Linked DNA regions of Elephas maximus indicus. The protein of the gene in region 4 interacts with the protein of the main gene of each other region in a pairwise test. Links are inferred from orthologs where the notes say so. Each region holds a gene or a part of one and is shown on either strand. Other genes may lie near its edges.

Region 1 (7,367 bases), on a different chromosome or scaffold from region 4:
GGAGCTAAAAATCTGCTTATTTGGGCGATTTTACAATTAGATGTGTAAAAATGAGTTTGGTGCAGGTGGGCTTTTTGGGCTAACAGGCCCCAGCTTGCTGTGAAGTAAACAACATGGGGCTAATACAGAGGCCACCTTTGGCTCATTTAGGTAACTGCTTGACAGGAACAAAAGACGAAGAAGGCTGGTCTGTTCTGGGCTGCAGCTGGTGGGAGTTTGCATGATTTACTCGTGAGCTCTCAGTTCAAGGCCACCGAACTGATGGAGCTGCCAACTCCTTCCCAGAGAGCTCCAGAGGCTGAGTTTTCCAGGCGAGGACTTTTTTTAAAAATAATTGTCAGTAATTATTTCATATCCATACCTTGCTTCTAGATCAAGTGCACTCTTAACGTTCCTACCCTCGGGCTACTCCTAAGGTTCCTCCTTTGCTGAATAGCTGAGTCACTTGGATGTGGAGTAAGGGGAGCACATTTCTACTCAATGCTCTCGCTTGCTCTTCACAGCTATAGGCTGACTGCCATGAGCTGGACTTTGAGATTTTAACCAGGTGTTATAAATTGAATGGAAACCCTGGTGGCGTAGTGGTTAAGAGCTACAGCTGCTAACCAAAAGGTCGGCAGTTCGAATCCACCAGGCACTCCTTGGGAACTGTATGGTGGAGTTCTACTCTGTCCTATAGGGTCGCTATGATTCGTAAATGAACCAATGGCAGTGGGTTTGGTTTTCGGGTTTTATAGATTGAACTGTGCCCCCAAGGATATGTGTCAACTTGGCTAGGCCATGATTCCCAGTACTGTGTGGTGGTCCACCATTCTGTGATATGATGTATTTTTCCTATGTGTTGTAAATCCTAATTTTGCCAGTGGTTAATGAGGCAAGATTAGGTTAAGTTAAAGAAGATTAGGATGGGATGAAATACCCTTACTCAGGTCACAGCCCTGATCTGATGTAAGTGGAATTTCCCTGAGGTGTGGCCTGCATCACCTTTTATCTTACAAGAAATAAAAGAAGACAGAGAGCAGAGAGACAGAGGGAACTCCTACCACCAAGAATGAAAAACCAGGAGGGAAGCATGTCCTTCGGACCCAGGGTCACTGTGCTGAGATACTTCTAGTCCCATGCAAGGGAAGACTGATAACAAGGACCTTCTCCCACAGTTGACAGAGAGAGAAAGCCTTCTCCTGGAACTGGCATCCTAAATTTGGACTTCTAGCCTCCTCAACTGCAAGCAAATAAACTGCTGTTAAACCCATCCACTTATGGCATTTCTGTTACATTGGCTGTGGGTAACTAAGACACGAGGCTACAGAAACTATCTTCAAATGCTTAGGTCTCAATACGAAATGCAACCGTTTCGTCGTTAAAGTGGTTGTTAAGGGGCAGGGATGTCATTTAACACCAAATCCTGCTAAGAAGTAAAAAATGTATCTGTGGGATTTCTGGGTTTTCTTCTAGTTATTGGAAACCCTACCTTGCAGAAGATAGTCCCAGGGCTCCTTGCTGTTGATGCAGAAGACTATGTAACTGAAACCATTCTTTCTACCTCTGCAGATGGAAGACAGAAGCTTGGAAAGGAAAGCTAGAAATGACACACTCATGTCAAAAGTGGAAATGGGAAGACAATAGCCCTAAGAACTTATAAACTGTCAGGTACCCAAGTTCTCTGGAGCTGGGAAGGCTCTAAGTTCAAGGTTATGGGAGGGGCACCCACTTCAGGACAGGTCATAATATCTTAACTTGGCACTTAATGCAACAGCAGAGGGCGTTGAGAGGAAAACAGGTAGGTGACATCATGGAAATAAGATCTACAAAAAGAGTGAAGAGCCCTGACAGGACCTGAGGAAAAATTGAAGTTTGTCTTAAAATTCCTGTGTTCACAGGCGAATGAGTGATGAAAACTGGCCCATACACCACGATTTCAGAGTGGAGGAAATCCCATTCCCCTCCCTAAGGCAACTCTCAGCTTACCTTGCGTTTGTTGTGATAGGCAATATAGAGGACCGCAACAAGAATGGCTGCAGTCACCAGATACGCAAAGAAGTGGCTGCTCTCCGCACTAGCACTTCCAGGACTATCCTTAAAAAGGTTATCCTCACTACTCATAGAACCCGAAGGCGGGCCTTCACGGTTCTCACTGGGGGCCTGGCCTGACATCCCTTCTTTGGGTGGTGACTCCTCTTTAGGCTCTCCATCATCTTCTTCAGCCTCTTTGGGCTCCACATCTTCAGCAGGCTCTGAAGACTGATCTCCTTCCTGCTGGGGAGAAGCAGGGTCAGAGTTTGTTGACACTTTCTCCCCAGATTCTGTCCTAGAAGCATGCAGACTGTCTTTTTTGTCAGTTACTGCGTCCGGGCCAGGCTTGGAGGGCTGCTTGTTATCAGAGTGTTCTTTCGGCGTCGTGTGTTGCGGACCTGGATTGCCAGGGTTGACTTTCGGGGTCGTGAGTTGCGGGCCTGGACTACCAGGGTCGACTTTCGGGGTCGTGTGTTGCGGACTTGGACTGCCAGGGTCGACTTTCCGAGTCGTGTGTTGCGGACCTGGACTACTAGGGTCGACTTTCAGGTTCGTCTGTTCCGTACCCGGACTGCCAGGGGTGTCTTTTCTGGTTGTCGAACCCACAGTGGGTCTGCTGGAACGATCCTCCTTAAACGACTGTTCTGCTATAGAAGTGTCATTTTTCTTGGGACTGGGGGCCAGATTTTCGGCGGCTTGTGGCTCCGAGGGTCCTGAAAAATAGGAACCCGTTGCTCCAGGAAGAGACCGAGGCAACGGCCGGGGTGGGGGAGGGATGGAGTTGATGCCGCAGCGAAAGGTGGGTCGGGCAGGGAAGACGACCGGCCCGGGTGAGGGCGAACGAACTGGGGGCAAGAGTGGGACAGGGGTAGTGAGGGGGTCTTACCCGCCGCTGCGGCGCTCAGAAGTACCAACGCAACCAGGAACCGCATCCTGCATGGACTGCGCTTCCGCCCTCTATCGCTCTCGCGAGATCCGCACGGAGGTGGGTACCTCGCGTGAGCTCACGGCCCCCAGGTTTCCTGCCCGCGTCTCGCCCTTCCCCGGGTGGTGGGCGGGGCTTACCCAAGGGCTGCCCGGCCGCCGAGTCCTTCCGGTGCTTCTTTCAGGACGTAGTGCTTTCGCTCAGCCGGGCGCTTTAGAGTCTTCCGGTGGGAAGTCTGTCCACCTCTCCTGTTTATTTTTCCACAAAAGCAACCTCAACAGACCGTCATTCTCTTTTTTCTTCTTCGTAGTTCTGAGACACATACAGGCCAAGCGGGTGCTCCCCTGCTGGCGAAACGTCCCGGAGCGAGTTCGCTGGCGCCGGCCGCCTGTTCTTTCCGCCTCGGTTCGCCCTTTCAGTCTCCGCTTCTCCTGGTTCTTTCCCTGCTGTGCCCGAGGCGCTCCTGTCTGGAAACAAACCCATCCGGACCGTCGTCGCGCCAGCCTTCGCTTCCCTGCCCACCGCCCTTGCGACTCCACGGAAAGCTCCGACGTGGCCAAAGATCTCCCCTAAAAAGTACGATTTTTTTTTTTTTCTGATCATAGAAGTTATTTATATTCACTGCAGAGGATTTAAAGTATGGAAGTAGAAAACAACACCATATTCTCATCGTTGAAGTTTTAGTGTATTTTGTTTTGCAAATATTTAATATTTTTGGTTAGGGAATACATTCCCGTGGTTGAAAAATCACGGGATTTAAAAAAAAAAAAATACGTTTGAAAGCCCTTGCTCCCTACACAAGTTACCAGTTATATTGGCTTACTGTGTTTCCAACCTCATTTTTTTTTTAAAAGCAAATACAGATGCATTTGTTTCCCACGTCTTCTTAATGAGTGCATTTTCTGCCTTCTTCTTTATGCATATTCATTTTCTTCCCAAATTGGGATCACTGGGTAAATGGTTTTGCATCCCAACAGTTACAGTTACTGTTATGTGTATTCATTAAATGCTGATGGAAAACTATGAACAGTTGTGGTTTGTAGATAGTGATGCAGAAAATGTTAGGCTTTTACTATCTATTGTGCACAGTTTCACAAGGGTATCAAAGATGTGGTGAAAAAAAGGTGAAATTGTGTACTCCAGACTAGTAAGTAAGCACAAGTGAGCCTGTGCATACCTGGTTTATTGGGTAATCCGTCCCTGGGAAGGGACTTTTGAGCAGAAGACCAAGGATGTAGGTATTTCCTAGGTGGGGCTGAAGAGAGGAGGAGGAGACCTTTGCTGGCTGAGTGTACAGCAAGTGCAGAGGCCTGGAGGCAAGGGGGAGTGAGGAGAATGGCAGGGGTTGAGGCTGGAGAAAAACCAGATGAAGAAGTAAATGATCTGAGAGTTGTCCAGATTACAAAAACATGTGGAGCACAAAAATACAACTGAATTAACAGAAAATATGTCCAGTTAACTCAGATTGAAATATAAGCGGCAATCACTCCTACCAGAAAGGATTACAGCCTGACAGTGGTTAAGAGCTTGGCTGGTAACCAGAACGTTGGCAGTTCCAATCCACCAGTCTTTATGGATGCAGACTGCCACAGCTTTCTCCTGTGGAACAGCTGGTGAGTTTGAACCACTGACCTTTGGTTAGCAGCCAAGCACTAAACCACCGTGCCACCAAGACTCCTTAATGAGAGGGGCAGGGGGTGGCAAATTATTAAATCTGACATGGTATCCACAAGTACCAGGCAGGAGAGCAAGGGAGTCCTAATTATGCAGTTTGTGGGCCATGCCCAGAGTTTTGTATTATATCTGACAGTAAGTAAGAAGAAGCCACTGAAGAGGTTTAAAGTGGGAGAAAGATGTAATCAGAGTTGGGATTTTTGTAGGTTACTCTGGCTGAAGTCTGGAGAACTATTTGGAGAGTGGGGAGGGAGGAGTTGCCTTGGAAGTTAATGAGGAGACTATTACGGTAGTCCAGGTAGGACTAGTGTGGGGACAGTGAGGATGGGGAGAAGTGGTTGGATTCTGGATAAATCTGGGAGGTAATACTGACAAGCCTTGGAGATGAGGGCATGCAGTGAGGGAGTAAGGCGTGGAGGTGCTGTTTCTCTGAAGTAGGGAACACTAAAGGAAGGCCAAGTTGGAGGGAGGTGGGGTATAAAAATTGATTTTTCTTCTGATTGTTTAAGATGCCTGTGAGACAGTCAAGTTGGAAGGAAGTTGTTGGAAATGTGGGCATGGAGTTCAAAGATAGAAGAGTTTTCCTTAGAACTTACACATTGTTCAAAAAACACTATTAATGATTTCATTAAAAAAGGAATTTATGAGTTTATCATAATTTTTATGGCAGTTCCATTAATATTAGACATTTGGGTTATTCTGAAACTTCTGTTGTTGTTATGTGCTGTTGGGTTGATTTTGACTTGTAGCAACCCCATATGACAGAGTAGAACTGCTGTAATCTTTATGGGAGCAGATTGCCAGATCTTTTCTCCCACAGAGTGGCTATTGGGTTCAAACTGCTGACCTTTTGGTTAACAGCTACTTTTTTAATCTAGTGTCACGTTCTGGTTTGGTGCATTTTAAGATGAGACGACACTCAGAAAAAATTAACCTGTCCAGGGTCACTCTATCACCTAGTCCTTGATAGCATTGAATATTCTTAACTTGCCAGTTTGACAGGAGAAAAATAGTCCAACTGTATTCTTTAATCTTTAATGAACAAATAATTTACATGACTTTGAGCAGTTTACTTAGTTGTTTTAGATATCAGCTTTGTTATGAAATGGGGATAAAAATTTGAGAATTAGATAATTCATGTATAGGATTTAACAGTGTTAAGCCTCCAAAATTGCTAGTTATTATTATTATAATTAATATGTTCATTATAGAAAAATTAGAAAATAGGATAGGCCAAAGTAAGAAAAGTATTTCATAATCCAGAGCTAGCTATTATTGTGACTATTTTTGTGGTTCTCCCTTTTTTAACAGGCACATATTTGCATAGGATAAGATTGCTAACTGAAGTTAAGCACATTACAAAATCTTACGTACAATTCCTATTTTGCAGGCCTCTTTGTAGCATTTAGTGCTACAACTAGTCTTGTCATTTGTCTTCTGGGGCACTACCGTCTACTTGTTTTCTACTGTTTCTTCTATCGGCATCATTCGAGGACTCCCAATTGTCACAGAACTGTGTGTTTTCTAGAAGGGAAATGAAATCAACGGTATCACACACAGCATAGAGTAAGAGAAGGACTCAGAATTAGGAATTCCAGTAGACTGGTAACATCAAAACCTGGTTGCAGTGGGATAAGCAGTGAATGGCAAGGTAAGCAGAAACTATTTTCTCTGGAAGTTTCAATGTGAAACTTTAATATGGGAAAGGATTGGGTTTACTTGTTGACGGAGGGGAAAGTTGCATTAAGAGGAAGTGTGATCATCAGATGACTGACGGGACAAGGTACCAAGAGATGAAGGGCTGGGGTATAAAAGTCAGTGGAGTTGACCTTGAACAAGGGTTGACCTTGAGACCTGTGGGAAGACAGAATGGGTAGGGATTGTGTAGATATTTAGGTTGCAATGTGAGAAATAGAAATACAGCATTTTTGCTGGACTTAACTTTCTTGATATTTTAAGAGGGAAGGCAGTCTTCCATGAATGAGGAGGTAGGGATTAAGTTGAGGACTTGAAAATGGTAGAGAGTTAGAAGAGTTGTCGAGGGGATTAGGAGAGGGAGCTGACAAAGGACGAGGGTAGGAATTGGTGAGTAGCCCTGAAGGTTGATTTCAGGCACCACGATTCTTTTGTGGCACCTATTTGAGTTGCATAGTTTTTCTCCAGGCAGTGCTCCTCCTTGGGATGAGTGGAAGGCAGATTTTAGTATTAAGTCCTAACTCACACCAGTTTTGGTTTAAGGGCATGATAGGAGGTAACATTAATCTTAAAATTTCCCTGCACCCCTTTATAATAAAAACACTCAGCAGACTAGGAATAGAAGGGAACTTCCTCAACCTCTTAAAGGGCAAGTATGAAAAATCCACAGCTAACATCACACTTAATGGCAAAAGACTGGATATTTTCCCCCTAAGGTCAGGAGTATGACAAGGGTGTCCAATCACCACTTCTAGTCAACATTGTACCGGAGGTTCTGGTAGGGCAGTTATGCTTCAAAGGACACCATCAAAGAAGTGAAGAGAGCACACAGAATGGGAGAGAATTTTTGCACATCATGTATCTGATGACACAGTGGTTGTAACGAGTTCAGGCGTAACAATTGTGAGGATGGCACAGGACCGGGCAGTATTTCATTCTGTTGTACATAGGGTCACTGTGAGCTGGAACTGACTCAATGGCACCTAACAACGACGTATCTGATAAGAGATATATCTAGGCTGTATTAAAAAAAAGCTTTGCAACTGGGTAGCAAAAAGGC
Region 2 (7,306 bases), on a different chromosome or scaffold from region 4:
GGGCGGCTTTTCCCTATCACCCAGCCAGCCAGAGCTGGGTCTACACAAATACATGCTGTACTGGCAGCCCCTGCTGACTCACTGCCCTTGAGTGTTCATTAATTATCTACAACGGCTCAGAGAATTAATGGATACTGTTACCTATACTTACAGTTACCCGTTTATTATAACGAGAAAGTATACAAGCGTAGAAATACATAGGCAAGGTCTGGGAGAGTTCCCGGCACAGGGCCTCCACTGGTCCCCAGAAACGTGCCACTTCCTCTCCTGTGCGTGGATGCTCTCTTGGAACCAGGAGGTCCCAAAGAGAGCGCCCCGAGGTCCAAGGTCCCCTGGTCGTTAGGACCTCAATGAATATGCATGACTTGAGCCTTAAGGCACAGTTATGATAGATCTAATCAATAAATAAGTATGACTGCATCATATCCCCCTTGCCTTTCTGAGGCCTGTTGCCAGGGCGGGGTCTGCGTAAACCCTACTTATTTACACTTGCTTAAGTTTGGTGGCGTAGTAGTTAAGAGTTCGGCTGCTAACCAAAAAGTTAGCAGTTCGAATTCACCAGGCACTCCTTGGAAACCCTATAGGGCCGTTCTACTCTGTCCTATAGGGTTGTTATGAGTTGGAATCAACTCAACAGCAGTGGATTTTTTTTGTTTCACCTAAGGAGCGCCTGTGGTGCAAACAGTTAAGAGCTCTGCTGCTACCAGAAAAGTTGGCAGTTCAAACCTACCCAGCCGCTCTGCAGGAAAAGATGTGGCGATCTGCTTCTGTAAAGATTACAGCCAAGGAAACCCTATGAGGCAGTTCTACTATGTTGCATGATGTTGCTACGAGTCAAAATCAACAACAAGTTTAGCCTCGATGTTTTATAAAGACAAAGAGCACCTTAATTAGTCAGCCTATTTTCAGAAACCAGAGTCAAGGCATAAAACCAAGTTCTTTGTCCCACATATATGCATTAGAATATTATTTTTAAAAAGTCTAAGTAAGTCTAAAAGTGCTTTCAGTAAGAATAAAATACAAAGTCTAAGTAATAAGAAAGCATTATGTCATAGTTTATTTAACTGGCAGTGTTTTCTTCCTTGGTCATTCATAAAATAATCAATGGCACTAGGATTCAATAAAATATGGTAGTAATTCAGTTGCTACATCTAATAAGAAAGCTTGACAAACTACCTTAAGGATAAACTAACAGCTTACATAAGAGAACATAAAAACTTCCCAATGACAGAACACAGGAGAAAAATACATAATTGTGCGTTATGATAATAAAAGGGCTATTTTTCCAACCCTAAGAGCTTTCTTTTGATAGATTTTTTTTCTGAAAAGATTTCTGTAAAATCTTCCTCAAGGTTCCTATTTGCAGCAGATTTTTGTACAGAATCCAAGGAAGATGGAGGGAGGAGAGTCAGGGCAAGAATCTATTTTTGCTTTAACTAAACTCTCTCTTTCTCTAAGGACCTTCCATGGTCTCTCCTTGGCAGTACACACTGCTATGCAGAGAGCAGGCCTCAGTAAATAAATATAGCTTCAATCAAATGTTTCTAAAAGCTACATAATGAATTTTTAAAAATCACATGTAGAAAAAGAGCTTGTTAGTTTCAGGAGTCTCCAGTGAGTACTTTTGTAAAGCAAAGAATGAACCCCCTAATTATTAGGTTTCTCACAACTTAATTGTACATACTGACACAATCTCTGAACTAAGCATGCAGTTCTCCCAGAAATCCTGCTGCTGTTCCAGGAGCCCCTAGAGCAGAGGATCTCAGCCAGAACCCTTTTTAGCCTGTAGTCAGGCCTATGTAAGCAGCTGTAACTCAAAAAGCAGACTCCTGAGAGCTCTGCAGATCATCCTGGGATAAGGGGATGGGGCAAAGTGATGTGGAGGGTGGGTGGGTAGAGGGGGTTGTGCAGACCTGAAAAACCATGGGCAAGAAAAGGCAAGGAATCATTAGCTACTATGACCCTGAGATGGTCTCTTGTTGGCTAGCCAGGCCCCCCTGAACCATGACACTTAGTTACTTTGGACAATTAGTTACGTCTGACACCTGTCAGAGTTGAGGCCAGTCTGACAAAGTCACCAGTGCCGGGAACTTTACTGGGGTCATGAGTCACCTTCCATGGCTCAGAGGTTTGGGCAGACCTGCTCCACCCCACCCATATCCACCCATTTAGGAGAGCGACAAGAAAGATATAGGCACTGGGAGAAAGAGAGAAACAGACGGCCAAAGACACGTACTAAGGCAGGCCACGAATCAGAGTAAAGACTGAGAGGCGGCGACAGGCTCGACAGACACAGAAGCAAGGTGGAGACAGAGATAAAGACAGGGTCCAGATACAGAGATGGGTTCGAGAGAGACAAAGTGGAAATACAATGCTGACATGGTCCAAGTACAAAGACAGAAATGGCAGGTGACAACAGGTTACAGGAAGAGTGACAGAAGTGAAACCCAGAGGGAAGGAGAGACAGATCGAAGTCCGGGCTCAGCCCTTCTCCCGGCCTTGCCTCACAAGGCCTCGTGCGCCGGTGGCTCGGACCCGAGACCACCAGACTGCGCTCACCCAGCACCCCGTAAGGCAGACGGACGGACGGGGACGAGATTTCTAAGAGCTCAGGCCGGCCAAGCTCCACCGCTGGGGGGTGACCTTGGGCGAGACGCTGTCCCAAAGGCCTCGGTGTCACGACTGGCGCGCCGGACCGGCTGGAGACCGCGGCATTCGGACCCGGGGTGCTCGGACTCCAACCTTCCGCGCGTGGCTTCTGCATCCCCGTCAGCAGAATGGGCCCGGCGGGCCAGCTGCGCGCGCACGCCGGGGCCTGCAGAGAAATCCTTAAACCACCCTGGCTTCCTTCCGTCCTCCCTCGCTGCCCGTTGTTCCGATCCCGCCGTACCTGCCAAGGGTTCCACACTCACATCGCCCAACTGCGAGGACCTCTCAATCGCCGGCTACAAGTCGGTTCAATCCGTCGCCGTTGCGACCGCCTCAGCCTGTGCCTCCCGCCCCCGGAAATGCTTCTCGGTCCCGCCCCCGAAACTGTGCTTCCGGGGGTGCGTCAGCGAGGAAAGCGATGTGCGCATGCGGGACTCACGTTCGGGGCGGAGCGTCGGGAGAGCCACAAGAGATAGCTGGCGCCTGCGCAGTACGGCTTTGGGCGATCAATCTGGTTAAGGAGCTCTGGGTTTGATGGTGGGCGTTCGGTCACCAATACTGAGCCTTTAAACTCTTTCTAAACCTCAACATGTCTCAGCTTACCTAGCAGAGATTGTGTAAAATCATTCACAGGGTCCACCCCGCTGTTTAGCACACAGTGGGTGCTCAATAAATATTCAGTGAAAAAATTAGTATTCTCTGTGTGGCTGGCGTTGTGCTGGGCTTCCGCGTGTGGTAGATGATGGGACAGGAGCGCCTCCTCTACACTCCAGTTCCCCTGCTTCCACTAATTCTCCCCCACCCCAAACACACGCACATTAGTGTAGAAGAGAGGTCCTCCAGGATGGGACTCGAGCCTTTTATACTTGGACCTGTTCTGTTGTTAGTTGCTGTGGAGTCGATTCTAACTCATGGCTATCCCAAGTGTGCAGAGTAGAACCGCTCCATAGGGTTTTCAAGGCTGTGACCTTTTGGAGGCAGATCAGGCACGTCGTCAGGCGGGTCTTCCCAGGCCTCTTTCCAACCTCTGCTAGTGGTCTAGTGCTTAACGGTTTGGGCCACCCGGGAACTCCTTTGGGCCTGTTTCCAAACCAAAGTAAATCCATTGCTTTTGAGTCCATTACGACTCATAGTGGTCCTATAGGACAAAGTAGAACCTCCCCTTTCCAAGGGTATAAATTTTTACGGAGGCAGACTGCCACGTCTTCCTGCCGCTGAGCTGCTGGTGGATTTCAACTGCTGACCTTTCTATTAGCAGCCCAGTGTTTAACCATTGTGCCACCAGGGTTTCACTGGACCTCTTTAAAGCCCCTTATTTTAGAGGAGCAAAATCATAGTGAGCTGAAATGGACCGCTCTTGGCCATTTTGAATCAGACAGTCATGGTCTGCTGTGCCAGGAAGGACAAATTGAAGAGGAACGGGGTCACATTCGTCGTCTAAAAGAGCATCTCAAGAAGTACAGTGCTGTCAGTGATAGGATAATATCTGTACTCCTACAAGGAAGACCGGTTAATACGACTATAATTCAAATATGCACCAACCACTAATGCCAAAGATGAAGAAATTGAAGATTTTTACCAACTTCTGTTTGGAATTGATCAAACATGCATTCAAGATGCATTGATAATTACCGGTGATTGGAATACAAAATCTGGAAACAAAGAAGGATCAGTAGTTGGAAAATATGGCCTTGGTGATAGAAATGATGCTGGAGATTGCATGATAAAATTTTGTAAGACAAATGACGTCCTCATTGCAAATACCTTTTTTCAACAACATAAGCAGTGACTATACATGTGGACCTTGCCAGATGGAATACACAGGAATCAAATTGATTACATATGAGGAACGAAACAATGTAGAAGCTCAATATCATCAGTCAGAACAAGGCCAGGGACCAACTGCAGAACAGACCATCAGTTACTCATTTGCAAGTTAAACTTGAAGCTGAAGAAAATTAAAACAGGTCAACTGAAAGCCAAAGTGTGACCTTGAGTGTATCCCACCTGAATTTAGAGACTATCTCAGGAATAGATTTGATGCATTAAACACTAATGATCTAAGACCAGACAAGTTGTAGGATGTCATCAAGGACATCATACATGAAGAAAGCAAAAGGTCATTAAAAATACAGAAAGAAAGAAAAGACCAAAATGGATGTCAGAAGAGACACTTAACTTGTTCTTGAATGTAGAGCAGCTAAAGCAAATGGAAGAAATGAAGTAAAAGAGCTTAACAGAAGATTTCAAAGGGAGGCTTGAGAACACAAAGTAAAGTATTATAATGAAATGTGCAAAGACCTGGAATTAGAAAACCAAAAGAGAAGAACATGCTCGACTTTCTCAAGCTGAAAGACCTGAAGAAAAAATTCAAATCTCAAGTTGCAATACCGAAGGATTCTGTGGGCAAAATATTGAATGATGCAGAAAGCATCAAAAAAAGATGGAAGGGATCTACAGAGTCATTGTACCAACAAGAGCTGGTTGGCATTCAACCATTTCAGGAGGTAGCATATGATCAAGAGCCAATGGTATTGAAGGAAGAAGTCCAAGCTACACTGAAGGCATTAGCCAAAAACAAGGCTGCCGTGGAATTGACAGAATACTAGTTGAGATGTTTCATCAAATGGATGCAGCACTGGACGTACTCACTAGTGTGTGCCAAGAAATTTGGAAGACAGGTAACTGGCCACTTGACTGGAAGAGATCCGTATTTGTGCCCATTCCAAAGAAAGGTGATCCAACAGAATGCAGAAATTATCAAACAATATTATTAATATCACATGCAAGTAAATTTTTGCTGAAGATCACTCAAAAGCAATTGCAGCAGTACATCAACAGGGAACTGCCAGAAATTCAAGGCAGATTCAGAAGAGGACACAGAGTGAGGAATATCATTGCAGATGTCAGATGGATCTTGGCTGAAAGCAGAGAGTACCAGAAAGACGTTTACCTGTGTTTTATTGACTATGCAAAGGCATTCGACTATGTGTGTCATAACAAATTAATGGATAACATTGTGAAGAGTGGGAATTCAGGAACACTTAAATGTGCTCATGCAGAACCTGTGCATAGACCAAGAGGCAGATACTTAGAACAGAACAAGGGGATACTGCATGGTTTAAAATCAAGAAAGGTGTCTGTCAGGGTTGTATCCTTCCACCATACTTATTCATTGTGTATGCTGAGCAAACAATCTAAGAAGCTTGATTATATGAAGAGGAACGTGGCATCAGGATTGGAGGAAGACTTGTTAACAACCTTTGATATACAGATGGCAGAAACTTGCTCACTGAAAGGGAAGAGGAAGCACTTACTGATGAAGATCAAAGATTACAGCCTTCAGTATGGATTACACCCCTACATAAAGAAAAGAAAAATCCTCACAACTGGACCAATGACCAACATCATGGTAAACAGAGAAAAGACTGAAATTGTCAAGGATTTCATTTTACTTGTATCTACAGTCAACAGCCATGGAAACCACAAGTCAAGAAATCAAACAACTGTTGTATTGGGCACATCTACTGCAAAAGATCCTCTAAAGTGTTAAAAAGTAAAGATGTCACTTTGGGGACTAAGGTGCACCTGAACAAAGCTGTGTTATTTTCAGTTGCCTCATATTCATGTGAAAACGGGACAATGAATAAGGAGGACCAAAGAAGAATTGATGCCTTTGAATTATGGTGTTGGTGAAGAATATTGTCCATACCATGGACTACCAGAAGAACGAACAAGTCTGTCTTGGCAGGAGTATATCCAGAATGCTTCTTAGAAGCAAGGGTGGCATAATTTATTAAGGTTGTGTGTCAACTTGGCTGGGCCATGATTCTCAGTGATTTGATAGTTGTCTGGTGGTGTGATCACTTCCATGATGAGATTTGGTATTATGTGACTACCTCCATAAGGGATCTGCTTTGAGTAGCCAATCAGTTGAAAGGGGGTTTCCTTGGGGGTGTGGCCTGCAGTGAGTATAAGTGGATATTCTGGCAAGGCTTGTGGGCTTTCGCTTATTCTGGATCCTGCAGCTGGCTCCTGTTAATCTGATCACTGGTTCTTGGGACTTGAGCTAGCAGTTTACTTGCAGTCTTGCCTGTTGATCTTTGGGGTTCATCGATCTTTACAGCCTGTGAACAAGAGCCCTCCTCTACGACCTGCCAATCCTAGGTTCGCCAGTCCCTGTGGCTACATGCATCAGGAGAAGCCTCTATCCTGACCTACGAACTTGGTACGCTCCAGTGCCTACAAATGCATGAGCCATTTCTTTGATGTAAATCTCTCTCTTTATATATATATGTATATATATATATATATATATATATATGCTTTACTGGCTTTGCTTCTCTAGAGAACCCAGCCTAAGACAGATGGTGAGACTTTGTCTCATGTACTTTGGACAGGTTATCAGGAGGGACCAGGCCCTGGAGAATGACGTCATGCTTGGTAAAGTAGAGGATCAGTAAAAGAGAGGAAGACCCTTGACGCGGTGGATTAACACCGTGTCTATAACAACTGGCTCAAGCATAACACTGATTATGAAGATAGCACGGGATCGGACAATGTTGCGTTTTGTTGTGCATAGGGTCAGTATGAGTTGGAACTGACTTGATGACACCTAACAACACCAATTCGTACTAACTTAAATTTGTGCAGCTGC
Region 3 (7,633 bases), about 43 Mb from region 4:
TGGGGTGGGAGGTAGATAAGATGGTCTAAGGTTCCTTCTAGCTCTAGATTCTAAGGCTAGCAAAGGAAAAGACGTGTGTCGTGAATAATAAAATTCCCCCAATTTCAAGACTTAAATTACAAAAAAAGAGACACATATTTTGCTAAATGATTTGCCCTATTTCTGTTTGGTAACATTTGATAGTTATTCCCTGACATTGTAATTACCAGTAACCTGTTTTTTTCCTAAATAATCTGTAACCAGTTATTGGATACCTTTAAAGTTTACCATATTTTTTATTTCACTAATAGCCACCACCAGTACAATCTGTACAATGCTTTACAGTTTTCAAAGCATTCTGGCATGCATAACCTCACATTAGTTAAATATGAGAGGGAAACCTTACTTTAGATAAACTGCTCCCACTTACCACCTCTTGCCTGAATTTCTTGGGAAAGAAAGCTAGTCTTTATTATTTATTAAACACTTTGTAAGATAATAAAGCATATACCAGCAGATACCCATCTCCAAAACAAACCATTAATACGCAACCCAGAGATGAGTCAAATCCAGTTATTTCACTAGCCGATAAGCCAAATCTAGTTCTGTCAGCATCAGAACCATGGAGTTACCCCTCAGTGAAATTTCTATTTTATTTATGATTTGGGGAAGAAAATTTGAGGAATTATAATTAGTTTTCCAAAATTTCAGTGTAGCTATACAAACCAATAGTTCCAGACAACAAAAAGCAGTCACAACAAAACATGAAGCACATGTAGTGATTGTCCTTTACCCCCCAACTAAAACTGCCAACACGAGTTACTGAAGTAACCAATGTTCAACTTTCCCCAGTGCCAAACAGGACCCTCACCTCCTATTTACTTACTTCTTTACGTTTCGTTTCTGGACATTCCGACTGCAAAGTGAGAGTTGCACCTTCGATATTTCTTGGCATGGGCGTGGAACCAGGGTTTATTGTTAAATGAATTTGATCTGGTGAGATAATGTGTTGCACATAACCCTGTGACATTGCTTCATGATCTATTAGGTGAAAGCCCTCTTCACCCCCGACTAAAAAAGGCAAATGTTCTCCACACTGTCCATCGTCTTCTTCATCCTCCAAAGTGCCAGGGTCCTGCTCAATAAGAACAGTTGTCCTATCATAAACAGTTCCAGATGAGGAAGGCACCAGTCCGTTTTTATCCACAAACCTGAGCATCTTGTCATCGGGAGTCAGCTCATCTTCCTCTGCCTCAAAGTAGATGATGTTGTCGTCTGGACTGTGTTCCTCCATGGTTCAACAGCGCTCAGCCCAATTGCGAGAAATGGAAAGGTGATGACCCTTCTGCAATAGAACAAGGCGAGAGTTAGAGCCATACCACAGGACCCAGGGGCCTCCTCAGCAGCAAGAGGGTTCATCTTCCCTCTCATTTAAAGAACAGGACAAAGCAAATAAAAAATCATCTTCCTTGGGAATAATTCCTTTAAGTTTAACTTTGAAATCTTCGAGTCAGTTTTAAGGAAAAGCAATGCCTTTTAAAAATTTTTGAATAAGTAGCCAATCAGTTCATAAGACCTTCTGAATATGCCTTCCTGTCAAACAATGTGAACACTGGTCAAAACACCTAAAGGGGATAAAGGAGCAAACAGAAGAGTAGCTGCTTCAAGGCTGAGTCGCTGTAAATATTAAAGTAAGAAAACCCCACCCAAATATTCCCCAAATCAGATCATGAGGAAGTGCAGTCTATGGCAGAAGAGTAAGGCTTTGGAGCCATACTCACCTACCTACAAAACCTGGCTTTGCCCTTCACTACTTGGGTAACATTTCTGTGTTTCATTTTCCTTATGTGTAAGTGGGACTAGTAATTCCTGTTCTCTCAAAGTTGTCACGAGGAGTAAAAGAGATAATGTATGTAAAACACAGCGTCTGACAAATAGTAAAGGAACATTGTTAATTCCTTCCCTTCTTCCTAGAACAGATGTTTCAGCTTCTGGGTGGAGAGGGTGCTCCCTAATTGGACACACCTAATGAAGATCACTTTAATTATTTCTGTCCTAAAACAATTTGATGTTAACCAGAAGCTATGCCAGTATAGTGGCTCTCTGCAGTGAAGACATGATGAGTCTTAACTTATTTTTGTTTCCACAGCCCTTAGCAGAGTACACTGATACTAGAAGTTCAGGAAATGTTAGGTGAATGAATGAAAGACCTACAAATATACTCTCCTGGGCAAAATACCAAATTTGAAGGTTTCCTGTTCTAGAATAGTGATTCTTCCTTCACCTCCAAACACAGAGCTTCTACAAATGTGGGTATGGCAGGCAGAAGAGAATTTAAAAATAATCAACACATCACTAGTTTTCAGTCCACTTTGCACTTTATCTTTCTCTTCTGCTCTAGGTTAGAAAGTGAGTTTTTACGTAGAGGGGCGGTTAGACAGAGGTAGTTACCGGGCACAGGCCAAGGGATCAGGTCCGGGAGGAACCGGCTCGACCCCTGGCTCTGGCTTACGCAACCCGGTAGATGCACATTTCGCTGCATCTGAGAGCAGAGATAAGAGCACCCAGAGTCCCACTGGGCTGTCCCGGCACCATCAGCGGCAACGCGGAGATCAACTGTCCGGAACAAACAGAACAGGTTTGAGGATGGCAAACGAGGAGTAAGAACGAAGCACCTCTGAGAGGAGGCTGAGGAAAGAAACCTGTCTGGGACAGCCCCCAGCTCAGGGATACACGGAAAAATCCGAGACAGAACTGGGGGCTACAAGCCGAGTGATGAGGGACAGGGTCCGGGTCTCCATGGAAACAGAGGAGGGGGGCTGGATACCCATCCCCATGGAAACGGAGGAGGGGTGGGGTCCCTATGGTGACTGGATTGAGGTCTCCACTGGGAAATGTTTCAGAAGGGAGCCTACGTCTCGCGCCCCCCGGGAAGTCCCAAGCCCAGGCCGAGTCTAGTTTCGCCTTTTACCTCCGCGGCTCCCGGCAACGGCGGCAGCAGCAGCTTCTCCCCTCCCCAGCGGCACCATGATTGCCCCCACCTTCCCCGAACGTCACTTCCGCTTCCGCTTTCCGGAGGAAGGAGGGGAAAGCCGCCTCACCTCTCTCTTGGGCTTCTGGTTGGTTTAGGCGAGCTGGGGGCTGAGCTCGAGCCCCCAATTGGCGAGCGGGAAGAGTGGGGCGGGGCACCGAGGGGACTCAGCCAGTGCCTTGAGTTGGACTCCCGCCGGGAAGCGCCCCAGGCAGTCCGCGATCGGTTGGAAGCCAAGGCACAGCTATTTCGGCCCCAGACGCAGGGACGGGACGGATTAACCAGTAAGCAAGGCACGTACGGATTTACTTGTGTTTACTTCCTAATCTGTAGTGAACACATGGGTTGAAATTGTTCATTACAAAGTAATAAGTACACACAAGTAAACCTTTGCGTACCTTGTTTATCGGGTAATCCGGCTCTGCGCAGGGAACCGGCATGAACCCCCAACCCCTAATCCGAAGGCACTTCAGCCCGGGTTGAGCTCGCCACTCTCGCCCTGGCGGCCACAGCTGCAACTGGAAGGTCCACAGTTAACCACAGAATCCCGGCTCACACCCGCAGGGGAAGAGCCTAGAAGCATTCTCGGATTTCACTCTCAATGGCCCCAGCTCCCCCTCATCACTTATTAAAGTTAAAATATAGACGAGGACAGGGACTCAGTAGGAAAATTAATAAAAGATTAGACCTAAGAGACAGAACTAGGAGTACTCCAAACCAAGCCAGAGAGGACGCCGCTTCTTCCTGTTCTCACACGCTTTCAGAAGGGCCCAAATCCCTTCTTCACACTCCTGCCCAAGCTCTGAGCCCCAATTGTTTCCTGCAGAGGGTAGTCAGCTTCAGTGGGGCTCGTGCTCAGGCCAGTCAACTCCACCTACCGGCCACTTACTTTCTTTAACCGTACACGTTTTCATTCAGGTCCATTTCTAAAATCGCGTTTTACGGCGCCAAGCAGTGGCGCTTCAGTGCCCAAAAAGCAATCTTTCTTGTGCCTTCGTTATCCTCCTATCCTTTCAGTCAAACTCAAATACCAGGAAGATCTAGATATTAGCACTCCCAACAGCCAACTGCCTGTATTTTTCCATAAGCTGCCTCTCAGAGTAGGACAACCCCCAAAGAGACTAGATCAGGGTCTTGGGGTTCAGGCCATGACGCTACCATTTCTTGCTTGAAAAATGTGAATAGTACCTGTTACCCACCAGACTGCCAGGCAAACATCTCTTTGGTCCCTGACGAACTGCCCCCAGTACTTATACCACAAAGGCCCAGCAGTCAAGAGCTGCCATCTCTTAAGAAAGAAAAATATACACACCAACCACTGTTAAAAATACATTTATCATCAAAATATACATTTGAGAGAAGGGATGCATTATATACAGTTTGGAGGATTTGCTGGTCCAGAAAATTCCACTTGTTTCATGAGAACACCGATTTCTTCTGTTTTCATTTTCAAGACACTGTGCTGTCTCCAGTGGCCAGCCTCAGAGTTACTGAGCCACTTTTGAGTAGGTAGAGGTCTAGGATCTGCATATGCATATACACATGTCCTCAGACGAAGCACTGGAAGCATCTGGGGTGGTTGTGGTCTGTCTGTCCAGAAGCTTCCACTTGCATTCTTGCCATCCAACTCGCTCTCCTTTGAGGACTCCAAAGTTTGTTTAAATGATATCTGACCATGGGAGCTCAGCCCAGGCCACAGGGAAGACACTGACTTTGCCCTGGAGGCAGGCTGATTGAGCACAAGAAGTACAGTTATTTTTTATATTTTAAAAATAAAATAAAATAGAGATATATCTGTGTTAAGTAACAAAAGTTGAACATTGAATGTCAGTTTTATTGTGGTAGATGTTCCCCTATGTCTTCACAACTCACAGTAGCACGGAGTGTGCTAGTCATGAGGTTCTGGGCTCAGGAAACATGCAGCTGCCAATTCTTGCTTCCAAGGGGCCTCACACCCTTTAAAGGCAGCCCTTGAGCTGAAACAGGTGGGGCTTGTAATGGCTGCCTCTGATAAAACAGGAGAGGAAATAGCTCAGGCTGAGTTGCAGAGGAACTGGTGAATAAATTCTTGAGCCTTCTTCTTCTCTGCCATGTCAAGCTTTTGGTGACCAGCTGGGTTTCGAAGCAGCAAACTGCCAAATATGCTAGCTGCATGGAAAACACAGAAAACAAATGATTCAGCAGAAAAAGGTCCTACTTATTCTTGAGTTGTTAGGAGAGGGGAGAATGACCAAAAACAGTACTTTCTGCTTTTAGAAAAACTAGTGGAGTGTTAAACTTCGCCCAAAGCTAGAGATTTTAGTTCTATTGCAGTAGACTTGGGACCGTACTCAATCGCATTTTGCATAATGAGTTTCTCAGTTGGCGGAGATGCTTCTCACAAACACTTGGCTGCTTACCTAGAATATTCTCATCCAAATGATTTTTTGCTGAATTTTTCAGCAATTCTTGCAAAAACGCCATCAAGTAGTTGAAGACATTTTTGTGGAATGTGGGGAGAGTAGAAATGACCTGAAAGAGGAAGAATTGGTGTTTGTCTTATCATTCATTCAATCAACTATTTTGTCAAGTGCCTACTATATTCCCGGAACTAAGTACACGATCCAAGTACATGAGTAAGACTGTGCACAGAAAATTTTCATCACTTGGCACAAGTGCCAAAAGTGGCACAGATCAAGCACCATATGAATTTAAAGGTCAAACTTGTAACTGCATGTTCTCAAATGACTTCAAGGGATAGATGGCATTTTAGTTGGTCTTGAATACAGACAAAATTGGACTTACAGAAGCAAGGAATAGGGTACTTAGAACCAAAGAAAGTGTTAAAAAAAAAAAGGGGGGGGGGCAAGAGAAGGCAATCAGTGAGATAAGTCAGGAGAACACGCTGTGAGAAGTCAATCTTGGCAGTGGCACAACTGTTTAATAGACGCTGAGCCCTGCAGGGCTGATCAGGCTAGGATTTGCCGAGTACTCCAGCTACAGGCGTATCAGAATCAGCTGGGGAGCTTGTACAAAATCAACTCCTAGGCACACTGATAGTGATTCTGATTCAGTGGATCTGGGCTGAGGCTCTGGAACCTATATTATTAACAAGCTTTCTAGCTTATTCTGCTATGGTCTGTTGTATGTGGGAACCACTAGCCTAGATCACAGAAGGTCCTAAATATTTGTGTAAGAAAACCCTAACTGGCAATGGAGAGCCAATTTTGGTTTTTGAGCAATAGTGACATGATGAAAGACAGTGTTAGGCAACACAATCTGAAGGCAGTATGCAAAACAAGTCAGCAGAGGGAGAGCCTGCATGCAGTGCCCTGAACCAAGGTGAGTGGATTGAGGATGGAGGAGAGAGCATGGGACTTGACATGTGGGAGATGAGAGACAGGGAGGAGACATATATGACTCAGGTTTCAGAATGAGTTGCTGAAATTAATGGTGATGGCATTAAAAGGAAAAAGGACATGAGAGGAAGAGCAGGTTTGGGGAGTAACGATATGAAGCTGAGTTCCTAAGACACTTCATTTGAGGGACTGTGCCTACTTTGTTTCCTCAGGACCCTTGAAGCCTGGGGCTAGCAACATGTGTATGCTGACGCTTAAGGCTTCCCCTCACCTGTTTACTTGCTGTGTAGTTGCCAGAACACTCCAAGCAGCTATGGTAGGCGCTGTGACAGATGACAGGCTCTGGCAGGCTCTCAAGGAAAAGCAGCAAGGCCTCGGCTACGGAATGATTGTTAGCAGCTTTTGGCCCAGGGTTAAGGAATGGTTGATGATGTGGCCCGTGGTTAGGAAAAGGCTCAGGAGCAAGCATATGCCAGAAGCACTGCCTGCTCAATCAGTCTCTTGGCTCAGAGCTAGGATACCAGCCTGACATCTCCAAGGAGCCAAGCTGTTTGTCAGCATAGCTAGGCCCTCCTGAGTTCCCACTACGTTGGTTGCTTAAAGTCTTCTCTATGGAAACTTTTAAGCAAGGAAAACATAATAGCGGAGGATATGGCATCAGCTTTGGAACCTTAAAATATGTTTCTTTCTCTTATTCATTGTCTCTCTCTCTCACACACACACACGCACAGCTGAATGACTGAAGGATACAGAGGGTGTCAATCATTCCAGTATCCAAACAGTCCCTGATATGCTCAAATTCCGACCTTAGGCCAGGCTGCTGAAACAGATCTTCCTGCAAAAGGGAAGAAAGTCACAAAATAATTATTTTCTTAGAAAATCAGTAACTATTTCCTGAACTAGAAATATAATCACCAGCACAGTACAACAAGGAGCAGTGTGGTGAGGCCCTTGGACCACCCTGGTAGACAATCTGATCAAGGCTGATGTGGCTAATTCATCTTGCAGGCTTTCCCCAATGTATCCCCACAAGAGGTCTTTAGAATGACAAGAGATCTACCATAAAACTACAGGAGGGTATATAGTACGTAGGACAAGACGATCCAGTGTAAGGAAAAACTTCAAAGTCGCTAGGCTTCTTGCAGTGGTATGGAGGAAATGAACCAGAAAAAGAAAAATGGAAGAAAGTATACCATTTATAAGAAGGAGAAAGCTAAAAAGGCACCTCAGTGCTTTGTGCAAACAAGGTTATGGCAATAAAGGCATTTCCATTAGTCCCAGGATA
Region 4 (7,121 bases):
GTGGTCATGAATTGCTTCAGGTGTTATTCACTTAGTGTTGCTTAAACACCATCTGCTCAAGAGGTGAGCTTTCCAGGCATGAAGTCCACGGTGAGGGGAAGAATAAATGTCGTCTTGGTTGCTGAAAATGAGCTTCCGAAAGGCAAGACTGGTCATGCTTCTCCCAGCCACAATTTCCCTGTGGTGGCTCCTCCTCCCTGTGTCCTTCTGTCCCCTCTTCCATCTGTACATCTCAACACCCACAGTCCCCTTGGTGCTGCCCTCCATGCACCAGCATTATGAGGGATGACTGGCTCTCCAGCCCCAGTGGCTGCCCCTGACCCCCGTGCACCCACTGGACTGCCTCCCTGTTAACCTGACTGCCACCTGGTCACCTTCCCAAACCCAGACCTCCTCCGGGAGCCTTCTGTAACCACCTCCCTTCCTGCAGCCGAAGTGAGGTTGAGCAACTGTGGCCCCTCAGGGCTTGTCCCTGCCCTTGTGGCTGCAGGATTTGACCATCCGGTAATGTATCTGCTGCCTGGCGTGTCTCCCAGCTGGACTGAGGGCTGTGGACAGTAGGCTGGGCATGGGGCTGAGCCTCGCATATCGCTCAGCAAGTCCCCACAACATCCCCGAAACGGACTCACTTGATCAATGAGGAAAGTGAGGCCCAAGGGGAGGTGCCTGCCAAGGCCACACACTGTGCTGCAGGGAAGGGTGCTGAGCTCGCCCAGGCCCCAGGGCCAAAGGGGCCCCCTGTGCCTGGCACAGTGCTCAACACGTGCTAGGTGCTCACATAACATTTGCTAAAGCCATGAGCCAGTGAGACGGGCCAGGGCGGAAGCAGAACACAAGCACAAAGCCTCAGGGTACACTGCTCCTCCAGTCCTGGGGTGCCCGTCTTCCCTGCCTCTGAGAAGGCTGGGCAAGGAAGCCAAACAAGGGAGCCAAAAGCTGTTGACTCTGGGTGGCATCCAAGGAGGGGAGCCTCAGGCCATCCACTCATGGGAAAGGTGTTGGGGGTGGAGGGAGAGGCAGTCAGGTCACCTCTTGGCTCCTGTCTGCTTCTGTGCTAACTTCCCTTCCCTCCCCCAGGACCTGACATCCACGTCCCTCTCAATGATCAACATCAGACTTGTCTGACATTGTTGTATCTGTTTTTGTCACTCCCAGATGTAAGAGGTCAGATGGCCATTGCCTCTCCACCACTGGGTGGGCTTGGGGGAGGACAGCAGCCCACCTCTGAAAGGCTTTCATGACCACTCCTTTAAGCAGCTCTCTCAGACACCCCTAAGGTCCCTGAGTGACTCAAGCAGTTTGTGCTTGGCTGCGAACCTAAAGATTGGCAGTTCAAACCCACCCCACAGTGTGGCAGAAGAAAGTCCTAGTGATCGTCCATATAGATAATAGCCAAGAAAACCCTGTGGAGCTCAGTTCTTTGTAACACATGGGAACGCTGTGAGTCAGAATGGACTTGACGGCAACGAGTTTGGTTTTGGTTTTTTGGTCAGACTCTCCTGGAAAGGCACCTGGTTTTTGGAACCAGCATAAGCTCCTGATCCAGGCATGTCCAACACTCCCTCCCACCTCAGTGCACTTGCCACTTTTTTGGGGGGCCTCCTTGATCCCTGAGTTGAGGTGGGACCTCCCTACTATACATGGTCATCGCTCTTCCACTGCAGTGCATATTGGTTTGTGTTTTTTGAGGTTACTGCCCAACTCCCCTACCAAACTGTGGGCCCCACGGGACAGGGACTGCTCCCCCTGCTTGGCGCTAGTCCCTGAGTAGTGCAAACGGTTACACTAGACTGCTAGCTGAAAGGTCGGTGGTTTAAAACCACCCGGCAGTGCCTCGGAAGACAGGCCTGGCAATGTGCTTCTGAAAAGTTACAGCCTTGAAAATCCTATGCAGAACAGCTCTACTCTGCACACATGAGGTGGCCATGCGTCAGAATTGACTGGCAACTAACAACCTGTAACATTCTGGAATCCCTGGATGGTGCAAATGCTTTACAAGTTTGGCTGCTAACTGAAAGATTGGTACTGAGTCCATCCTGAAGCACCTTGGAAGAAAGGCCTGGCTATCTACTTCAAAAGGTCACAGCCTAGAAAACCCTGTGGAGCACAGTTCTGCTTTGCACTCATTGAGTCATCGTAATTTGGAGTGGAGAAACCAGAACAGCAGCCTGGTCTAGCGCTCAGTACCAGTCCTACAAAAATTAGCTGAGCCAATAGGTGATTCTGGGTTTGCCTCCTGGGATCGAGGCCTCCACCTGCCATTTCTCTGCGACCCGTGTGACCTTGGGTGGGTGCTTCAGCCTCTGTGCCTCGGTTTCCCCCTCTGCACATTGGCGCTTCCACTGCCCACTTCACCTAACTCTTGTACAGACTCAGTGTCACCATGAACGTTCCTTGAGCAACGCCTACCGGGTCTGGGACAGAAAAGGTGCCCGCTGAACTGTAGCGGCTGCGACTCCAAGAGCGGAACGAACCCCAGGGCATGCTGTTCTCGCCACGCCTCGCCACTTCTGGCCAAGGGTCGCGCGGTCCCTCAGCGCTGGGCCTGCCCTCCCTGAGGCCTCCCGGGCCCCCACGGAGGCCTGAGTTCCCGAGCCTCGCTGAGAGGCGGGGAGGGTGGTGAAGCCGGTTACCTGGCGGTTGCCAACCACAAGGCAGCCCACTGCATTACCTAGCAACAGGGCGGGGCTCGCGGGCAGAAGACCCCGCCTGCTTCTCCAGTAATAGGGTGGAGTCCTCAGGTGCGGCCCTGCAGCCTCCCGGCCTCACACCTTGGTGGGGCCCACTGGCCAGTCACCTAGCAACGGGGTGGGTCCCCGAGGGGCGAGGCCCCCGCCGGTTTCCCGGCAACGATGCGGGTGGGGAGCCCTGAGTACCTTGCCCTTCAGGTCCAGCACGTAGACGGCGCTAGCGGACATGGCGGCTGCCGGAGGCCTCGGCGGCAGCCTCAACAGCAGCTGCGGAAACAGCCGGGCGTTGATCAAGGCCGGCGCCCCGCGACAGCCCGCCTCCACTTCCGGTCTGGGAGCCGCGCGCGGACCGTTATGTCCGGCCTGGGCGGAGTTGCCAGCATCGCGCAGGCGCAGAACGGAGCGTGCACAGGCGCAGAAGCCCGGTGCGAGCCACGTTTCCCACCCCGCCTCCAGAATCCAGAAGTCCGCGCCTAGTTAGGTGCAAGATGTCAAAGGGGGGCCTCACCTGGGGCCCAGGCTTTACGGAGCCGCAGTCTGATGTGGGAGTCTAGAAGGCTCCGTTGGGAGGGGAGAGGTGGCGATTTACTTGGAAAAAGGTCAAGGAAACTCTCTGAAAGGCAGTTACGCCTTACCGCGGTCACTGTCACCTGTCATTACTAACGTTCGTCAGTGGAAAAGCGTGGTTTTCTGCTTATTGCCTGGAATGATCTCGTGAAAACCACGCCCTCACTGAACATAGATGAAAAGAACAGTCTGTTTTATTGTGGTAAAAATATGTAATATTTACCATTTCAATAGTTTTTACATGTACAATCGAGTGATGCTGTGTTCATCATGTTGTGCAGCCATCTCAGTTTCTAAATTTTTCCATCACTCGTAACAGAAGGGAAACCCTGGTGGCCTAGTGGGTAAGTGCTATGGCTGCTAACCAAGAGGTCGGCAATTCAAATCCGCCAGGCGCTCCTTGGAAACTATAGGGTCGCTGAGTCGGAATCGACTCCACAGCAGTGCGTTTGGTTTGGTTTTGGTTTCTTAACAAAAGCTCACTGCTTCCTAAGAAATAACTTCGCCTTTTTTCCCTCCTCCCATCCCTGGTCTAAAAAAAAAAAAAAAAAAAGCTGCCATCAGTTCCGACTCATGATGACCCTATCTGCTCCACAGGGTTTTCTTGGCTGGTGGCACATACAGTTACACACCCAGCTGCTAACCAAAAGGCCGGCAGTTCAAACCCAGGCAGCCGCTCGGCAGAAAGACCTGGCCATCCACCCCCATAAAGACTATCGCCAAGAAAACCATATGGAGCATTCCACTATCACATGGGGTCACTATGAGTTGCCAATGCCTCAGTGGCACCTGACAAAAAATCTCTGTGGAAGATAGCTGGGCTTTCTTCTGGGTCGCCACTGGGTGGTTCTGAACCACCTTTAGTGGTCCAGCACAAACCATTTGCACCACTCAGGGACCTTTTGTTTTTAGTCCTTTAAGGTATTGTCATGGATTGAATTGTGTCCCCCAAAAACACATCTATCAATTTGGGTAGGCCACGATTTCCAGTATTGTGTGATTGTTCACCATTTTGTCATCTGATGTGATTTTCCTATGTGTTGTAAATACTGTCTCTATGATGCTAATGAGATGGGATTAGTGGCAGTTACGTTACTGAGGCAGGACTTGATCTACAAGATTAGGTTCTGTTTTAAGCCAATCTCTTTTGAGATATAACAGAAGCAAGGGATGGCGGGGGTATGACTCATAACACCAAGAAAGCAGCACTGGTATCCAGGGTTCCCAGTGCAGGGAAGCTCCCAGACCAGGGGAAGATTGATGACAAGGGCCTTCCCCCAGAACTGGTAAAGAGAGAAAGCCTTCCCCTAGAACTGGCACCCTCATTTTGGACTTCTAGCCTTCTAGACTGTAAGAGAACAAATTTCATTGTTAAAACCACCCACTTCTGGTATTTCTGTTATAGCAGCACTAGATAGCTAAGACAGGCATGCACACCCTTCATGTGCGATAAATTCAAGAGGCCGCCTCCCGTGTGGAAACCAAACAGCTTATAACTAAGACACACAGACTCATTTAATAATTGGTTGTTGCTTTATTCTGCAGTTCACATGTAACAGCCTCAAGCCCCACACTTGATTTTTGTCTTCTCGCTTTGTTACTCTTTCAGAAGCTGGGTCAGCAGAGACTGTCTCCCCCAGTATACAGATTGAGCCTCATCCAATAAACACAGGCCCCCAAAAGACCCTGGCTCTCCACCGCCGGTAATGGGGTCCTTCTGTTTGATCACATACATGTCTGTCTGTGCTGGAGTTCAGCCCTGGTCATGTGCCAACTTGGAACCCTGGCTGAGGGGGGAGTCAGGTGGTATCTGGGCTCCATTACAAAGAAGGCTGTGAATGATTTGCAATGTCTGCCACAGGGGCCATGGTGACACCCATTAGAAGTGTCTGGGATGGGGAAACTGGGAGAGGGGCTGCAAGCCAGTCATGGGCTCAGAAAGGGACCAGGTGGGATGCTTCATCCCTGCCATAGGCAGCCATCCTCTGCGTCCCAGGCAAGAGGGCTGTGGAGGTGGTTGGAAGACCACAAAGCCATGGGTAGCTTCCCTGCATCCTGGATGGAAGAGCTTAAGCCCCAAGCTCATGGGAGTTTAGAAGGGGAGCCTACATATAAGGGGGTCTGCACACTGCAGGCCACACCAGCATTAGCTCCTTATCCTCTGGAGTCAGTTTTATCTGGATGAAGAGAACTGCTTGGTTGTCCTCAGAAGCTTAAATGCAACTCAGAGAACTAAATATTCTTACATGGCACTTACACAGCAACGACTTGAACCTCTGGATAAACTTCCAAAGCTTTCCAGCCCACACTAAAAACCAAAATTGAGTCAAAGGACAGTCTTACTTTAATCAAGTTCTAGAACAAGGAGACAGTTTCAAAATGCACGGTTGCAGCAGAAAATGCAAAGGCATGGGTAAAAGAATGTTTCTAGAAAATGCCAAAGGGACCCGACTTAACCCCAACTCTGTCTTCTGCTTCCCCATGAGGCCACGCCATGCCCAGGGGCCAGGAGGCTACTTGGTCCAGCTGACTTTGGGGATGTCATAATGTTCTGTGAGTGTGTCCAGGTGTCTGTTGAAGTCCTGTGAAGGTCAAGGAGAAAGCTCGTCTCAGCACTGACCCATGCAGGGTGTGAAGGGCACAAAGCCTTGCCCACACCACCTCTTCCATGTCCTGCCTCTCCTTTCCTACTCTCCACTCAAACCCAACTTGCCAGGTCCTATAGATGCCCGAACCCTGGGCTCTCCCTTGAATGACCCTGGGAGGACCCTGTGGTGGTTAATTTTGCATCAACTTGGCTAGGCGATGGTGCCCAGTTGTTTCATCAAACACCAGTCTAGTTGTTACTGTGGTGGTTCAGCGGTAGAGTTCTTGCTCTCCATGTGGAAGACCTGGGTTCCATTCCTAGCCAATGCACCTCAAGCGCAGCCACCACCCATCTGTCCGTGGAGACTTGCATGTTCAGCAGAGCTTCCAGACTAAGACGGACTAGGAAAAAAGGCCTGGTGATCTACTTCCAAAAATTTGCCAGTGAAAACCCTTTGGATTACAATGGTCCAATCCATAACAAATGGGGATGGCGCAGGACCGGGCAGTGTTTGGTTCCATTGTGCATGGGATTGCCATGAGCTGGGCGTTGACTGAATAGCAGCTAATAATTGTTTTTATCAGCTGGTCTTAAGCAGATTACCCTCATAAAGTGTGTGAGCCTCATCCAAGCAGCTGAAGGCCTTACGAGCAAACCACAGGTTTCCCAAGGGAAAATTCTGCCTCTAGACTAGATATTCTGTCAGAATCCCCCTCTCCCCAGCCGCCTGACTTACTGATTTTGGGACAGAATACTGCAGGAGTCTACAGTCTATCTCCTAACCTATGGATTTTGCATTTGCCAGCCCCCCAAAGGTTCATGAACCAATTCTTCAAAATAAATCTGTGTGTGTGTGTGCGTGCGTGCGTGCGTGCGTGTGTGTGTGAATACAGGTAGTCCCCAGGCTACGAACGAGATCCATTCCTAACTCTGTCTTTAAGTCGAATTTGCAGGTAAGTCAGAACAGGTACATATGATTCTTATTTAGTGTCAGTCAAATGTTTGTCTTAGTATATATTTTACCTTTCTATGCATATAAAACCCTTAAATACTTCCAAATACACTAAAACATCATGAACGTAATACAGTACATAATAATACGATAATAAAAATAACTACATACAATACTGTACTGAAGAGAGAATCTGTGTGTGTAGGTATACAGCACTGTAAAAAAAAAAATTAAAGGAACAGTTCTTAAAACAGTTTAGATAGAAGAAAAAAAAAGAAAAAAGATCCTGATTAAAGGTTAACACTTACTCTTGTTCCATCAGTGT

What was found.
Region 1: the proteins of AP1M1 (region 4) and TGOLN2 interact in a two-hybrid assay, tested with the Homo sapiens proteins (2 studies listed by BioGRID). The link is inferred for Elephas maximus indicus from reciprocal best matches to the Homo sapiens genes AP1M1 and TGOLN2.
Region 2: the proteins of AP1M1 (region 4) and ZBTB43 interact in binary tests that used the Homo sapiens proteins (3 or more experiments, as listed by UniProt). The two-hybrid records come from large-scale screens. The link is inferred for Elephas maximus indicus from reciprocal best matches to the Homo sapiens genes AP1M1 and ZBTB43.
Region 3: the proteins of AP1M1 (region 4) and MTF1 interact in binary tests that used the Homo sapiens proteins (3 or more experiments, as listed by UniProt). The two-hybrid records come from large-scale screens. The link is inferred for Elephas maximus indicus from reciprocal best matches to the Homo sapiens genes AP1M1 and MTF1.

Annotation. Positions count from the first base shown.
Region 1 is NC_064835.1:49,271,416-49,278,782, forward strand, and holds the start of TGOLN2 (trans-Golgi network integral membrane protein 2), read right to left. Parts: upstream 3,008-7,367; 5' UTR 2,946-3,007; coding exon 2,900-2,945; intron 2,727-2,899; coding exon 1,969-2,726; intron 1-1,968. UniProt on the Homo sapiens protein: May be involved in regulating membrane traffic to and from trans-Golgi network.
Region 2 is NC_064827.1:77,762,671-77,769,976, reverse strand, and holds the start of ZBTB43 (zinc finger and BTB domain-containing protein 43), read right to left. Parts: upstream 3,010-7,306; 5' UTR 2,891-3,009; intron 1-2,890. UniProt on the Homo sapiens protein: May be involved in transcriptional regulation.
Region 3 is NC_064821.1:79,444,264-79,451,896, forward strand, and holds the start of MTF1 (metal regulatory transcription factor 1), read right to left. Parts: upstream 3,018-7,633; 5' UTR 2,951-3,017; intron 1,325-2,950; 5' UTR 1,274-1,324; coding exon 866-1,273; intron 1-865. Other genes in the region: INPP5B (type II inositol 1,4,5-trisphosphate 5-phosphatase), read right to left, coding at 5,043-5,158, 5,410-5,521, 6,620-6,747, 7,099-7,183. UniProt on the Homo sapiens protein: Zinc-dependent transcriptional regulator of cellular adaption to conditions of exposure to heavy metals. Binds to metal responsive elements (MRE) in promoters and activates the transcription of metallothionein genes like metallothionein-2/MT2A.
Region 4 is NC_064821.1:36,437,035-36,444,155, reverse strand, and holds the start of AP1M1 (AP-1 complex subunit mu-1), read right to left. Parts: upstream 3,019-7,121; 5' UTR 2,919-3,018; coding exon 2,877-2,918; intron 1-2,876. Other genes in the region: protein FAM32A, read right to left, coding at 5,771-5,839. UniProt on the Homo sapiens protein: Subunit of clathrin-associated adaptor protein complex 1 that plays a role in protein sorting in the trans-Golgi network (TGN) and endosomes.